Tamandua tetradactyla: one gene and its partner. The protein of the gene in region 1 purifies or fractionates together with the protein of each later gene. This does not show direct contact. Links are inferred from orthologs where the notes say so. Each region holds a gene or a part of one and is shown on either strand. Other genes may lie near its edges.

Region 1 (7,695 bases):
TCACTAATGACACCCTACCCCACCTCACCTATGAACAAAACACGGGCAAAAGGATGGAATCAGAGGGACAATTCTGGCAAAAAAAAAAAAAAAAAAATCCGTGCTCCATGGGAAGAGACCACAGGAAACCTCCCCAGGGAGATAAAGTCTCTCTCAAATACTAGGATGGGAAGTGGGCTGCTTTGGGGAGGGATGGAGGAAAAGAGAGAAGGTAGACTGGGAGGATATGACTATTGGCCTGTGCCTGAAAAGCGGGCATCTCTGCTCATTGGCCTTTGCGCTGAGTCTTCTGGAATTTACTTGCTGGGCCCTGCCATGGTTACAGAGCTTCCTGGGTCCAGCTAAGCCCCTGCCAGGTCTATTAAGCCCTAAAGCTGTCTCCAAAGAAGGGTCTTCTCCCACATTCCAAAACTAACTACAGTGGATAAGCAAGGCAACTTCTGGTTCTGGGATGGGCCAAGGTCTGAGGTCCCCAATTATCCTGTAACAAAGAGTCCAGGCCTAGCAGACAGCAGTAGCTCAGGCCTTGGTTAAGGCTCAGTTCCTGAAGTGCCCATGCAGGGAGACAGTCCCCCTGCACCCAGGCCCATAGGAAAGAAAGCCACCAAGAACAAAGGGGCCCACTCCTGAGTTGAGTGCAGAGAGGATTGGAGGCACGGTGGCAGGGGATGAGGCCTTCGTTTAGTAATTCCGGGAGCCGGTAGAGGTGACCCAGGAGATGAACACATCCCAGAAAGGCCCCGCTGCGCATTGTGCTTTCGGGGCATGGTTGGAGTGCTGTTGTGTCTGCGTGCAGAAGGCACGGACACTTGTAATAAAATCGTAGTCTCCCGGCCTGCCCGAGCCGCGCGGCCTGACAGCTCAATCACTCTATCCATCAGGCAAGTCAATCAAAGCAGCTTTTCGGAGGTTCAGGGAGCCGGACGTGTCAATAACGGGGCTCGAGATGGCGGGGGCTGATAGCGCGCATCGATCCGCGCCCGGCCAGCAGCGGCCAGGAGCGAGAGACCCGCAGTGGGAGAGCGACGCGTGGCTACGCTGTGTCCGGCCTCCTCTGGCTCCTGGGCGCCCGGAGCCCGCATCCCGGGTCAGAACCTCTGCCACCCTCCTGGCAGCCCCCACTGCTTTTCCCTGAGCTGCCAGCGGGGCGGCGGGCAGGCCTCAGCCTCCTCTCGAAGGGATCCGGCGGCTGTCCCTCTGCAGGCCTCGGCCTCGGGTCCGCCGAGCGTGAGAGACAGACAGAAAGAAGGCTGAAGAAAAGCCGAGAAAAATGGGCCTGCGACTGGGGGAAATTTGCCAAATGGCAGATAAAGGACGGAAGGAGTGACAGGAGGAAGGAGCGGGAAAATGCGGGTGCCGCGCCGCAGAGAAGCTGCCGAAAAGGGTGGTTCTCCGTGCGCTCGGCTCGGCTTTCTGGCCTGAGTCTGGCCTGCCTTCTCTCTTCTCCGACTGTCTGTCTGTCAGCCCCACAGAACCAAGAGCGAAACGCTCCCGGCACCCACCGCTTCAGCGATCGCCTGCCCCTGATATTCTACCCACCCGGGTCAGATTCGCTCTGATCCTCGGCCAGGGCGACGCGGGAGAGGGACGTTCAAACACATTTCTCTCTCTTCCTGTGTGACTCTAGATCTAACTCTATGTAAAGGAACTCTCCGCAGAACATAACGAGATGGTGTGTGGGTCTGTGAGAATACGCTGCGAAGATTATTTCTCTAGTCAAAGACTTGCTGGATTTCAGTCTCCGCAGGACCTGAATGGCTATATTTGAGACCCAAATCACTAGGCCTACCTTCCTGCCACCTCTAAACACTCCCTCCCTGGAGGAAAAATCAATGAGTGATTTTCGTAGCTTTCCAAAAAATAATAAAGGTAAAACAAAAAGAAGGTCCCAGGGGTTCGGAGTTCAAAATCGAAGGCTGGAGACCCGAGCCTTCCGCGCCCTAAACCTTATACTTACTTAGACCTGGGCCCTCACCCGGATGGAATTGGGGCCGGTTGTGAGGAGAGGGAAGCAGGCGTGAGAAACCAGAGCGCCTGAGGCTGGGCTTGTTCTGCCCAGCGAAGCGGCTGGGAGTTCTGGGGGGGCATCCGCGGAGCCAGCAGGCATGACGCAGCTCGGCGCCGGGTACTCACCGGAGGACGGACGATCCGAGTAGCGCGTGCAGTAGACCCAGGCGGGCCATACGAGAGGCTGCTGCGAGTCACTTTTGACCACGGGCCCGCCATTGGCTGAGCCCATAAGCAGGATGGCGGGGTTGCCGTGTTCCGGGTACTTGGAGCCCTGCGCGCCGGGGCTCCCTGAGCCTCCTCCGCTGCCGCCGCTGCTGTCCGGGGGCTTGGCCGCTGCTGCCGCCGCCGCCGCCGCCGCCGCCGCCACGGCCGCTGCAGCAGCCGCCGCCGCCGCAGCCGCCGGGTTCCCGGTTTTGGACGCGCCAGCGCTGCCGGCCGCGGCTGGCGGGGAGCCGTCGGGCGGACCACAGTTCGCGTCCGGGGTGCATAAGAGCGAGGCGGCGCCCGGCGCCCGCGTGCCCAGCGAATGGACAGGGTCTCTACCTGCTCCGGTCTGGCCTCTGTCACGCTCGACCCGGCCTCCTCCTCCCGCGCCCCCTCCGGCCGCCGCCGCCACGAGGAGCTGCGGCGGCGGCTGCTCCTTTTTGCAGCCGAAGTCCGGCCTCAGGATGTTGTCGATGAAAAAGTTGGTGGTGCGGTGCAGTTGGGCCGCGGGCTGCGGCTGATGAGCAGGCGCCGCGAGATGCTGAGGCGGCGGCGGGGGCGGGGGAGGCGGGGGGAGGTGCGGGTGGTGGGCCAGGGGCGGCAGGCAGGGCACCGCGGGCGGCGACGGGGGCGCGGGCTGCGGGGACACGGGTCCGCTGTCTCCATCGCTGCCGCTGCTACCGCTGGCGCCGGGGCTGAGGCTCAGGCTGAGGCCGCCCGGGGCCGCCGCCGCCGCCGCCGCGCCGAGGCCCGAGTCACGCTGACTTTTAGGTTCCGGCTGCTGCTCTTCCATGCTCGGCCGCCCCGCCGCGCCGGCCCCCGCCCCCCGCGCTTCGCTCCCCACCCCACTTTGCCAGCGGCCCGTGGGGGTGCGCGGAGGAAGGAGGCAGGCGAAGCCCCAGCGAAGGCGAGGGGCGGCGCAGGAAAAAAAAAGCCCAGGCGCCTGGCCTGGATCGCTCGCTCTTATCGAGCAGATAGATCTTGCTGTCTCTGCCTCCCTCTAATTTGTAGACATCCAGATATGGAGACACTTGGCTATGTCTTTTTTTTCTTTTTCTTTTTTCCTTTCTGCAACCAGATTCAATGATTTCTTTTAAATGGGGAGTCAGCCACGGCCGAAAAGAAAAAAAATAAAAAAAAAAAATAAAAAAAAGAGAGAGAAAGAAAGAAAAGAAAAAACAAAAAGAAAAAAAAAGAAAGATAGAAAAAAGCTCCGGGAATTTTTTTTTTCTTAAAGGGAAAAAATAGTCTTTAAAGTCTAGCCATCTTCGTAGGCAAGTAGTGAGGGCTTTGACTTCCCCGAGTGTCACGCTCAGCTGTGCCCAGAGCGCGAGGCTGGCAGCGCCTTTAATCGCCTTTGCTTTTTTTGCAGGGAAAGCGCGTCTCCGCCAGCGCCGGGGCTGCCTTTTTTTTTTTTTTTCAAATCTCTGACAGCTCGGATCTTTGCACAAACTCTCGCTTAAAAAAAAAATCACCCAGGCACACTTTTTGCCTTCTAACCGGAAGCACGTGAGTCAGGGCCGCACGTGTGCGGGGCCAATGGCGAGCCGGCACTCGCGCTGACACCCGGGCCGCGGCCCAATGAGTGCGCGCGGGACTTTGCGGATAAATAATCCGGGGGCGGCGGCCGCGGGCGGAGAGGGGGCGCCGCCGCGCGGGCCCCGCGCGTCGGGCCAGCCCTCCCCTCTGTTGCCTCAGTCCCTCCCCCTCCTTTAGGCCCTGACCAAGGAGGGGGCAGAGGAGACAGGGGGAGGGGTGGGTTTGGGGGTGTAGGCAAATAAAGAAGCAACTTCAAAAACAACTTGTTGGAGAAATGCAGGATTATGGGTGCGTGCAAGACGGATGCAGGGTCAGGAAGCAGGGGCCTCGGCTCTTTGCACCCTCACGCCTAAGAAACTTAGCCTTTTATTTTCTCGTTTATTCCCTTCTTGCTGTTAGAAAGGGTGAAAGGTTGTTTGTTGTCACTGCCCATCTCTGTGTGTATGTATGTATGGGGGGGGTGCGCGTGTGTCTGTGTGTTGGAGGGAGAGTGTTGAGACGAGAAAGTCGCTGGTGTGAAATAGATCTAGATAGGGTTGGTTACTTTCAGAGGCACAGTTTATTTTTCAGTAATAGCAAAAGCAGGAGGCCCGCGGTGCCTAGCCAACAGCGCTAGTTTGTCGGTCGCACGCCTAGCCGCTTCGCTGCATGTCGCTCCGGGGAATCCTCACCCACGCCCTTGCTGGTCCAGACCTTGGACAACACCCGGAACGGCCCTGGCGCCACTGAGTCAGGCCCAGAGGGCGCGGGAGACCCCGAGCGTCGGGCTGGCCGGAGCCTGTTCCTTCGCTTGCTGCGGGAGTGGGGGCCGCCCAGGCTTCGCGGAGTTGTCCGGGAGGGCGGTTGGGCTGGATGAGTCAGGGCGGGAATAAGGGCGAGGCCCAGGCTTTTGGGTTCAGGGCAACCTTCATGTTAGATTTCTCTGCACTGTAAAATCAAATAAATAAAAGCATTGCACCTCCAGGTGTTTGCCTGGCTAACTGGACAGCGAGTTTTACACCATTGCAAGGTGACTGATTTTTCTGTATTTGCTCTCGACATCTTGGGGGCCTCCGGCTCAAGCCCTACAGGTTCATCCCAAGCTTTGGGGGATTGCGGGACTCCAGCCGCCCCCACACTCACCGAGATCCATCTTCCGTCCGCTGGGCTCTTCTTCGTTTCTTCCCTGATGAAGCAACCCCAAAAGTTCTCCCACAGCCGGGCATAGGGGAGTGAGGCCGGGGCACAGGCGGGCTGGTCTGCCGCGCGATTTCAGAGAGCCAGGGTCGGATTGGCTACTGGAGCCTGCGATGTACAAAAGAAAAGGGCAAGTTTCCGGCAACGGAGGCCTTCGCAGGGGTATCATCTGTGCAGCTGCAGAGGACCTGCTCGCTCTGACCGCCAACCTCAACTGAGACGACAGAGGATCTCTTTAGGGATATTGTCTAGTTGGGGCATGCAAAATAATTCCTCTCTCCAGTTTCCCAGACAAGTCCCAGGGAATTAGGAAGGAAATAAAACGAAAACCACAGCAAGGCGAAACCATCGCAGTAGCCGAAGTTTCTGAGAGGGGCTGGTGGAGAGCGGGAATTCGCACTGCTCCCTGCATCTTCAGGTCAGCTGAGCCCCCCCCTACTCACCCGCCTGCCACCCACATCCGATTCCCAAGTTCCTGGCTAGACCTTAGCGGTGCCCGGGGCGGGGGGGGGGGGGGGGGGGGGGGGGGGGGAACAGCACGAACATCTAGCTGCAGTCTCCTCCACCCCTCTCCAACCGCCCTAAACCCCACCTTGGGGTCTCTCGAGTCCTCTGCATCCCCATCCCCAAGGGCTCCCCGAAATTTCCCGGCGCCCCCTCCTCTAATCCCCGAAGTGAGGGTGGAATTTTATTTATATTTAAGTTCGAAAAATTGAAATCTTTATCCCGCAAGCTAGCGTGGGTACTTAATTAAATTCTAATTAGGACACTATCAATATCCTATTTAGCCGCGTAGCTTTTGTGCGCCGCGGTCCCTTTCAGTGCCGTAAATAGGGTCTCGACGCCTTATCTCGCCTGCAAGAGACGCCTCGAGAAGGGCTGCGGAAGATAATTTATAGGTTTTAATTACTCTTCATTCCGCCTGATCAGCTTGGCGTTCATCACAGGCCTGTGAATAAAACCCTGGTCAAAAGCTCTGTCACATCGCGCTGGCAAGACGCTTAATCAAAGTGAGCGGCCCCGCGCGCCGCGCGGCCCGGCTCCTCCACGTAATTTCCAGCCAGCTGATAAAGCCAGCTGAATAATGCGGCGGCCCTTTGGAGACACCATTTACAGAAATGACTTTATTGACGGCTTAACGTCGGTAATTCATTTTACCTTTCATGTAGTGGAGCCCGGATTTGTTACAGTAATGGGATGATAAATGCACCCGCGGCCCACGAGCTGGGGCTGGATTAGGCGGCGCTCCGCGCGCTACCTCGAGCCCCCCACCCCTCCCCAGGCCCAGCCTGCACCCAACGCTGTGCACATCGCGGGGCTCGCTCTCCATGGCCCCCACCCGGGCCGGCGCCCTCCTCTCCCTCCTGAAAATGAACATACTATCGGGATCTGGTGTTCTGGCAAGCCTGGGAGTGAGGTGTGCGAGGGCTGAGAGCGAATACACGTTGGCGGAAACGGGTGTGCGAGGGGTCTGGAAGACTCCCGGCGAGCCCAGGGCTGGGTGTGTGGGTGAGAAAGTATGGGCAGGGTGAGTTGCCTGTGCATGTATGTGGGTAAAGAGGTTGGCTGTGTGGAGGGGTGTATGTGCACAAGTGAGTGCACATACTTTCCGGAACTTTTTTTCAGCCTTTGAGAATTAGGAAATTTTCTTCAACTTACTAGATGCCCGGGCCAGGATGACAGGGAGGCAGGTGGGCAGGAAGCAGATGGAGGGATTGGGGAACCTGCTGGAGTGGAGTAGAGCCCCTTTCTCCAAAAGCTCTTGGCTCCAGGGCCAAGGGCAAGGAAGTGTGAGGGCGCTCTGCTGTCCATTTCCATAGCCTTGCAGCTCTGAGCAGGACAGTTCATGCAGTGAGTCCCAAAGAGGGTCACAAACTGGGTCAAGTCTGAGAAATAAATGTTGATTGTCCCCAAGTAATACCCAGCTCAGATAGGGGATTATGTTGAGAAGAAAATTATTTTGTTTTATTTTGTTTTGTTTTAAGCATCCAAGTGTGTGTGTGTGTGGGGGGGCGATTTCTCTTCCACTTTGAAGGCAGAAGGGGACTCAAGGAGAACTTTAAAGTTAAGCAGGACCTTGAGACACCCCAACCTCCTTGTCGCCTCTCCTACCAACAGATCCCCTCCATTCTGTGCTGCAAAGCAGGGGATTCCACTGAGCAAACCAGTGAAAACAGTATATTCTATGAGTTTTGGCGACTGCTGGAGAAGTTTAGGGAGGATATAGAAGGAAGACCAATGAGCGATTTGGAGCAGTCTCAAGGTGAAGGCTGAGACATTGTTCCTTTGTTTCTCCTCTTTCTCAATTTTGCAAAAAACACTAAACGGTGTCAGAGTAGCCAGTGGCTGTGGGGGCTGAAGCATGTGTTTGTGTCTGTTTTGCATATTATTAGAGCCACAGGGAGAGAAAACTGGTCCATAAGTATGTGTTTGTGTCTCTGTGTGCACTTGTGCGCTGGCAGGAAGCCTGTCCTTGTGCACAGTAGAGTGTATGCCTGAGTCAGTCCACTACCAGGGTATGCAGAAATGTATTTGTGTGAAGGTTTGAGTGTGTGCTGTTCTGAAAACAAAACAAAACAACAACAACAAAATACTCGCTCCCCATCCCGGCATGAGTTTCCCTAGAGTTTTGAATTTCCTTTCGGCAGAGATAAATTTCTCTCCCTTTGCAGGATGGGGACCGGAGGTGAACTGTGAACGAAAACCTCGCAGCCTAGTAGGGCGTGCGGCGCGATGGGCCGGGAGTGCGGACGTGTTGTGTGCAGC
Region 2 (7,845 bases), on another chromosome or scaffold:
ACCTGCAAGTAGACAATAGGTCAAAAACAAGAAAACCCCAGAAAAATAAGAAAATTGATGCCCAAACCACTTAGCCTCATCTAATTTCAACAGGAGCAACATTTCTGGAAAATCTACAATGGGCCAGGAACCATGCAAATAATTTTCATTTATAAATCCTTTGAATTGGGAGGTAGGTGTCCTTAGATGAAGAAACTAAGGCTGAGATGTATATAAAATTGACTCCAATTACATGCTTTATCCTAAACTACCCAGAATGATATCAAAGCAGGTGTGCTTTCTCCTACACACTACACTAATGATGGGTAGAGCCAAATGCCAGCCTTCCACTATGGACTTTGCCTCAGACAACCTAATTCCCAAGTATGGCAAACAGTGATTTCAACACTGGTTTTGCCTCCAGGAACCCACACTCCAGGGCTGAGGCATCGACTGAATCAATGTTTCAGGCCTAGCCTGTTGCAAAATAAATAAGTTAAGTGCAAATATTGACGGTTCTTATGCAACTCCCAAATACACGAAAAAGGATTCTTTGGAACAGCAGCAAAAGGGTAAAAGGGAAACAATGGGAGGAGGAGGAGACAAGAGAAGAAGAGGAGGCCCGGGAAGAGCCAAGAAAGAGGGGAACTTGAAATGACAGGTCTTAACTGCAACTCCACACGCCACCGCCTGGACGCAAGTACTAAGTACAGCCGCCGCCATCCGGCTGGGCAGAGGGGCATGCGGCCACCAGAGACCAATGCCCTGACAACCACTCTCCCGCCACCGCCGACACGCACCTGTGATACTGCGCCTGTAGGAACTGGAATTCTTCCTTGATCCTGTCCAGGGACTCCGGGATAGTGAACTTGAAGGGCTGGCCTGCAGCCTGGTGCGGCGTCTGGGGGCGACAAGCGAGGGGCACCGAGAATTGGGGGTGCGGGTGGATGTACACATAAAGCAGTAAGTCAGAAAAGGGAGAAGTGGGTGGGACATAAACAAAAAATAAAGTTAGAAGAGGCGGATACTGAAGCCCCGAACTCGCCTCTCCGTTTCACTCTGGGAAGGGGAGAGAAGGACACTCCCCCAGTCCCCAGCTTCTAAAGAGGCTAGGAACCGCTTCCAGGGCGGGTCGTAATTAAGTGTGCCCACATCACCCGGCCGGAGGGAGGGGCAGCTCCCAGAAGACCGGGTAGGACCAGACCAGATTGTTGTCGTCGCCTTCCCCCTCCCCCTCAGGGGCGATAATGACTCCCGGGGCCGGAGAAGAAAAACAACTCCCTTTACGTTCTCAGTTCCCAGAGTCGCCGGGGCCACCTCCAGGAGCGCCGGAACGGGGGCCGCATTGACATGCAAATAAGCGAGACAAGAAACAAAAGGGGGGGCGCCCCCCCCGGGCTCGGGGACTGGGGAGAATGTGCCTGCCAGGACAGAAACCCTAGCCTCCCCCGGCGCCCCCTTCCACCCAGTCTAGACGTCAAATAGGAGGGGGCCGAAAGAAAAGGGGGGGGGGATCCGGAGTTTCAGGCCACTCTGCACCCCGGGGAACCAGGGCTCTGGACCTCCCCAGTTTTGCACCCCTGGGGGTGAGGAGACCTGGCAGCCGCCCGTCTCCCTACTGCTCGGGAAACAGCACCCTGACCCCCCCCACACACACACACACTGGGCCGCTCCTCACCGGGTGCCGGCTCTGCGGGAACATAGCTCTGGCGGAGGCCGCGGCTCTGTTCCTGGGCAACTCAATTCTTCGCTCAATTTCCAACTTTAATCCCACCGAGGAAAATTAAGCCAGGAAGCCAAGCAGAAGCGGGGCGCGCAGGGGGCGGAAGGGTGGGGGGCGATGACCACGCACGCAGGCGCGCTCAGAGGGGCGCACCGCCGCTCCGCGCCCGCGGTTACTCCTACTCCCGCCGCTGCGGGCTCCCGCGCTCAGGGCCACATCGTGGGGCGCCCAGGGCTCAGCTGTTCCAAGAAATTGCGCGACGACGCCAGCGCCCTGGGAGAGGGCGCGGGGGCTGCGCTCCAACCGGCGGGCCTCGGCCGCCGGGGCGGGGAGGTGAGGGCGTACTGACTCCCGCCGCGCTCCCCTCGGCGATCAGCGTGCGCAGCGCCGGTCCCGAGCTAACAAATCCAGGCGGGCTGCTTTTCTTTGCTTTTCTCCAGTCCGCCTCTCTCCGGATTTTCCCCGCAGCGGCGGCGGCGGGTGAGGAGGTGCAGGTGGAGCGGCGCCTCCGGTTAACCCCACACAAACCCGGCAACTATAGGGCCTTTGGCCGGGCGTTCGCGGGCTCCCAGGGGACCGCGGACAGCTAGGATCGGATCGCCGCGGAGGCTCCGCGCCCGGCGATGCGCAGCCTCAGCCCGGGCTGGGAAACACGGGATGACGCCGAGGCGGAGAAAGTGCGGAGGGCGCGCCGGGAGGCAGCTCGGCACGCCCCGTGCAACCAGCACTCGGTGTCCTCCGCGGTTGCACAAACCCTCCTGGCCCGACGGGGCTATTCCGTGGAGTGCAGCCCCGCAACCACCCACGGCTCCTCGGGCCCACGAAGCATCAGGGCACTGCGCCCCGCGCGAGATCGCCCCGAAGGGCCGGACTAGCCACTCCGGACCCTTCTTCGAAGCCCTTTCCTCGGTCCTCCCCTTCCCTTCGTTTGCCTCTCCGCAAAGGGCGCTCCAGCCCGCTGCAAAGTTCTCTCACGACCCCAGGGACGACATCCACGAGAGAATGGGGAGAATAGCAGGCATGCACTCCACCGCCCAGCCTCCTCCCCGGCGGAAAAACTCCGCGGGCGAGTCCGGAGTAGTCGCGGCACCGGTGGCCAGTGGAGCTTTGGTCACCACCGGTCGGCGGAGGTCCGGGCTGGTGGCGGAGGTCCCGGCTGGTGGCGGAGATCTCGCCTGGCTTCTTAGGGGGTGGAGGTGGCGCAGTCGGTCGCCTGGGGGGCGCGAGGCACGGGGTATCCGCCACTGCTGTTCCTGCAGCCGCCGGTCCCGCCGCCGCCGCCCGCGCCTCTCGCGCCGGTTACATTAACACGCGGTTTCACACTCCGGAGCTAACCAGAGCCGGCCCCGCCCAGCCCCGTACGGGCGGGGTCGCGAGCGCAGAGCCGACGGGGGACGTGGGCTCGGGCGGGGCTCGGGCAGCAGAAAGGCCCGCGTCAGCCAATCGCGCGCGCCGTGCCCAACGTGGGGTACTGACGCGCGGCTCCCCCAGAGCCTATGGCAGCGCAAGGCCAGCCAGGCTGTCCCTTCCTTCATCCCTCCCATCCCACTTGCTTCCATCTCCGCCGTCTCCCTTGTCTCCCCTGCCACCACCCCTCCTCCACCCAGCCGCGTCCTCTCAGGCTTGGTGAGGAAGTGTTCCTGGAGGAGCCTCGGACGCCGAAGCCAGCCAATGAAAAGCGGCGAGACTCAGAGATTGGCACGGAGGATGGGAAGGTCGGTGGGAAGGAGAGCAGCGGGGCTCAGCTGTCAATCAAAGTAACGTGGGGCTGCCTAGGGAGCGCGCCTTAGCGCGCGAGCGGGGTGGGGGGGGGGGGGCTGGGGGACTCGCGAGCTTGCTGCCGCCGAACTGGGGTTCGAGTTTGCAAAAATGCTGCCACTTGTTCAGTTTGCAAAAATGCTGCCACTTGTTCACTTTTTCTTTTATGAAAATCCTCAGATCTTGACGAAAGTAACTCAAGAACTAGTCGCGTTGCTTATTGGGGTGCTGCTTTGGTAGTTTTGAGTTAAAATGCGTCTTTCGGTGCTAGCCTCTTGTTTGATGCTACCCTTTTGGAATGTGAGGTCATATTCAAAAATTTCTCTGAGGTTTGTTTTTTTCCTAGACTACCTTTTCAGCAACGCATGAGAAGGAATGGACTGTGCCCTGGTGGAAACTGCCTAATGGTCAACGCATTGCGTGCGTAGGCCAGCCCTTAAGACATCACCATGGTGCCCACCACGTTTTGCCCAAGGTGGTAGGATTCGTTTTTTATTGGCGGGTATCAAATCGCTTTGCCAAAGGGTCGGCCTGCCTTCGTTTGGCGGGAGGGATTCTCAAAGGTATGCCTAGGTAAGGCAGGAGTGTACCAAAGCGCAGATGCGATACTCTGCCCGGGGCGCGAAATCTCGGGTCCTTGTCTTCAAAGTCCTGGCTTTGCTGTGATGAGGGGGAAAAAAAATCGTAGTTTTAGGAGTCTCGCAGCCACATGACCACGAGTCTGTTTCCAATTCCTGGGAACAAAGGGAGACAATGAAATAAACCAGCATTGAGACCTGAAAAACCTGTCCCACCCACCTCCATCCCCACCCCCATAATTTGGATGGTACCCCAGGGCTGATCTGTGTTCGGAGCCAGAGGGGAAGACGTGGGTAAAGGACGAGGCTAAAATTCTTACGCAGCGAAACTTGAGTTAAAAGGGATTTTTGAGATTTTTAAATAAACGGGACTCAATGTGTAAGTAAAATAAAGAGTCCCCAGTTTTTGTCTCTCTAAATAGATCACATAGAAAATGTATACTTTGAACAGTACGGTTAAGCTATTTCCATGTGACCCGTGGAAACTGTGTGTATTGGGACCTACATGACAAGCATTTCTCTTAACATTGGAACCTAGTAAACATATTTTTGGTATCAATAACTTCTACATCCCCATTATTTTACTTTGATTTTTTGTATGGGCAGGCATCGGGAATCGAACCCGGGTCTCCGGTGTGGGAGGCAACAACTCTGCCTGCTGAGCTACCGTGGCCAGCCCCATGTTATTTTACTTTTAAGAGACATATGGGAAAGCACATACATAAATGTATTTCATTCAAAGATTTGCTTTTACAGAAAACTTCTTCCTGAAATATTGAAAGAATCATTTTAAGTAATACAGTTCACAGTTGCAATTGTTTTAAAATATGTATGACATTGATTTCTCTATAATTGCATCAATCCCAATTATCAATTACAAGTGAAAAATAGAGTAGTTTTATTCAATATGCAAGGCAGTAGTAAATTCTTAAATTTGGCAGTATACTTTGCAGTGCTCTCATTAAATTTGGGAAGGAGACTATATTATTCTTTTGCTAACCTGGAGAATGAAAGAGAAGCACTGCCTCTCTTTCCGTGGTTAATTTGGTGATGACAGCGGCAGGTTTGCTCCACATACAGGACTTTTTAAAATTATATGATCCATGTGGAACTAAGCTTTGTCCTTGGGCAACCTGTGTTCTTTGAAATCTTCATCTATTTTCTGGCTGGGCCACATGGGCCAGTCTGTGATGACTTCATCTCATAATCTGAGGACTGGGTAGAAAGTTCTTTTGTGCCACAGAAATGCCTGTGGACTCTGGGACAGCTATAGCAGTCTGAGACATCTCCCTGGCTTACTTACCCAGCTTTGCCTGATGGGTATCTTAACTTACTGGTAAACACTAGCAATTAAGTATAAGCAGAGACATTAAAATGACATGTTTTGGGGCAGTAGCAAAAGTGTTGCTACTTCTCTTCCCACCCACCCCGTTCAAAATCAGTTTTAACACACTGACTTTAAATATTCTGTCATACAGCTCTTCACAGAACACGTATGTGGTTGCCACCTTTCCCAGTTTGGCCTTGGTAAAAATTGAGGATTTCTCTTTTGACCAGTGCTTCCTTACTACCTTCTGATTTCCTTATAATGTAGTATGTGGAGAAAAGAATGAATATACTGAATTTAAAATTGGAAAGCCTTTAATTGCATGAATATTTTTTCATTTCGATGGCTTCTGTCTCATACAGAGCATCCTCCTTGAGAGAGGGAGAAAGCTCTGCCCTTTTCAAGGTCATATTTTCTCCCTGATTGCCATGCTGTAATAATTATACTACAAAACTCTCATCAAACTGCATTATAAATGATGGTGTTTAAACAATCAAGTAGCCTTAATCTTCTGTTTTAAATAAATCATATATGTGCAGATTGCCTACAGCCTGTTTAAAAGAAAACAGTCCTACTCATGAAATCTATAATTTTAGTCATCTATTTGAAGTACGTTAACCATAATCTTCTTTACCTTCAACATAATCGTATGTTGATGATGTTTTTACAAGAAATAATATTAAGTGTGCTGCTTCCATAGGAAATTGTCCCTGAAGTAAAAGCAGTACCCTGTTTATCCTCTGCAAAAGAAACAGAAAGATTGCCGGCAATTTTTTTTTAAAACTTATTTGAAATACTTTCAAACGTACAGGACAGTTACAAAAATAATATAAACCTCATACAGAGAACTCAGGTCCACCAATTTGAACATTTTGTCACATTTGCCACGTCATTGTTTTTCCCTCCTCTGTCCCCTCTCTGCATCTTTCTGTCCAATCCATTTTATGAACTCTTGAGTATAGGTTTGTATACATCATGTTCCCTTACCACTTAATACTGCCATGTACATTTCCTTAAAACAAGGATATTCACTTACATAACCACCTTGAGTGCAGTTATCATGTTCAAGAAATTAACACTGATTTAAAGCTTAGACTCTATATTGTAATTTTTTCATATGTCCTGAAAATATCCTATGAGTTTTTTCTCTTTGCTTGTTTGATTCCATCCAGGATCGTGTATTGCATTTGTCATTGTGTCTTTAGTTGATCTGTCTTTTTTTTTTTTTTTAATTGTGGAGACATATATGCAACATAAAATTTCCCATCCCAACCCCTCCCATACATATCATTCAATGAGATTAATCACGTTTGCAGTATTGTGGTACCTTCACCACCTTCCTGTGTTAAAACTTTCCTGTCTCCCAAAACAGAATCCCTATACCCGTTATACTTTAAATCTCCAATCCCTCTATCCTCCACCCCTGGCCACTTGCACTCTAATTTCTGTCTCTCTGTTTACATATTCTCTGATTTTTTTTTGTACTCACCACAAAATTTAACATCCTAAATCTATAACAATCTCATTTGCTTCGATGCCATAGTATATACCGTCCCCCACCTTTATGTAATTCTTCTCACAAATTACATGTTTATATATTATGAGTCCAAAACCACTGATATCTCATTACATTTTTACCTTTGCCTTTTAAATCCTTTAGCAAGTAAAAAGTGGAATTACCAACCAAAAATACAAGAGCACTGGCATTTATCTTTACCCGGTTGTTACCCTCCCTGGTGAGCTTTATCGCTTCAGCAGCTGTGACCTATTGTCTATTGTCCTTTCCTTTCAACCTCCAGAGCTCTCTTGAGCATCTCTTGTAATTCTGGTCTAGTGCTGACAACTCCCTCAGCTTTTGTTTACAGGGAATGTCTTAATCTCTCCTGCATTTTAAAAAGACACTTTCGCCAGATATAGAATTCTTAGGTGGCAATTTTTTGTTGTTAGTACTCTAAATATGCCATCCCACTGCCTTCTTGCCTCCATGGTTTCCAATGAGAAATCAGCACTTAATCTTACTGAGGCTCCCTCATACATGGCCTGCCAATTTTCTCTGGTAGCTTTCAGAATTCTCTCTTTATCTTTGCCAGTGAACCGTTTCATTATAATATGCTGCAGCGTGGGTCTATTTGGGTTCATCCTGTTTGGAGTTCGTTGAGCATCTTGGGTATGTATATCCATGTCTTTTGTTAAATTTGGTAAGTGTTCACCCATTATTTCTTTGAATATTCTTTCTGCCCCTTTGTCTTTCTTCTCCTTCTGGGATTACCTCATGTGTATGGGTGTCGCATAGATTCCTCAGGCATCTTTCACTTTTCCTCATTCTTTCCTCTTACTGCCTCTCAGACTGAATGACTTCACATATCTTATCTTCAAGTTCTCTGATTTCTTCTGCCCTGTTCCAATCTGCTGTTGAACCCCTCTGGGGAATTCTTAGTTTCTGTTACCCTGGTCTTCAGCCCTGTTTGTTTCCTTATCAT

Evidence for each region. Proteins that work in one complex are often made in the same cells at the same time.
Region 2: the proteins of EN1 (region 1) and TLE1 purify together in Homo sapiens (affinity purification with western blotting; 4 studies listed by BioGRID and IntAct, with this or other methods). This does not show direct contact. The link is inferred for Tamandua tetradactyla from reciprocal best matches to the Homo sapiens genes EN1 and TLE1.

What each region holds. Positions count from the first base shown.
Region 1 is NC_135329.1:95,309,671-95,317,365, forward strand, and holds the start of EN1 (homeobox protein engrailed-1), read right to left. Parts: upstream 3,008-7,695; coding exon 2,134-3,007; intron 1-2,133. UniProt on the Homo sapiens protein: Required for proper formation of the apical ectodermal ridge and correct dorsal-ventral patterning in the limb.
Region 2 is NC_135328.1:112,657,872-112,665,716, forward strand, and holds the start of TLE1 (transducin-like enhancer protein 1), read right to left. Parts: upstream 3,016-7,845; 5' UTR 1,682-3,015; coding exon 1,658-1,681; intron 881-1,657; coding exon 780-880; intron 1-779. UniProt on the Homo sapiens protein: Transcriptional corepressor that binds to a number of transcription factors. Inhibits NF-kappa-B-regulated gene expression. Inhibits the transcriptional activation mediated by FOXA2, and by CTNNB1 and TCF family members in Wnt signaling.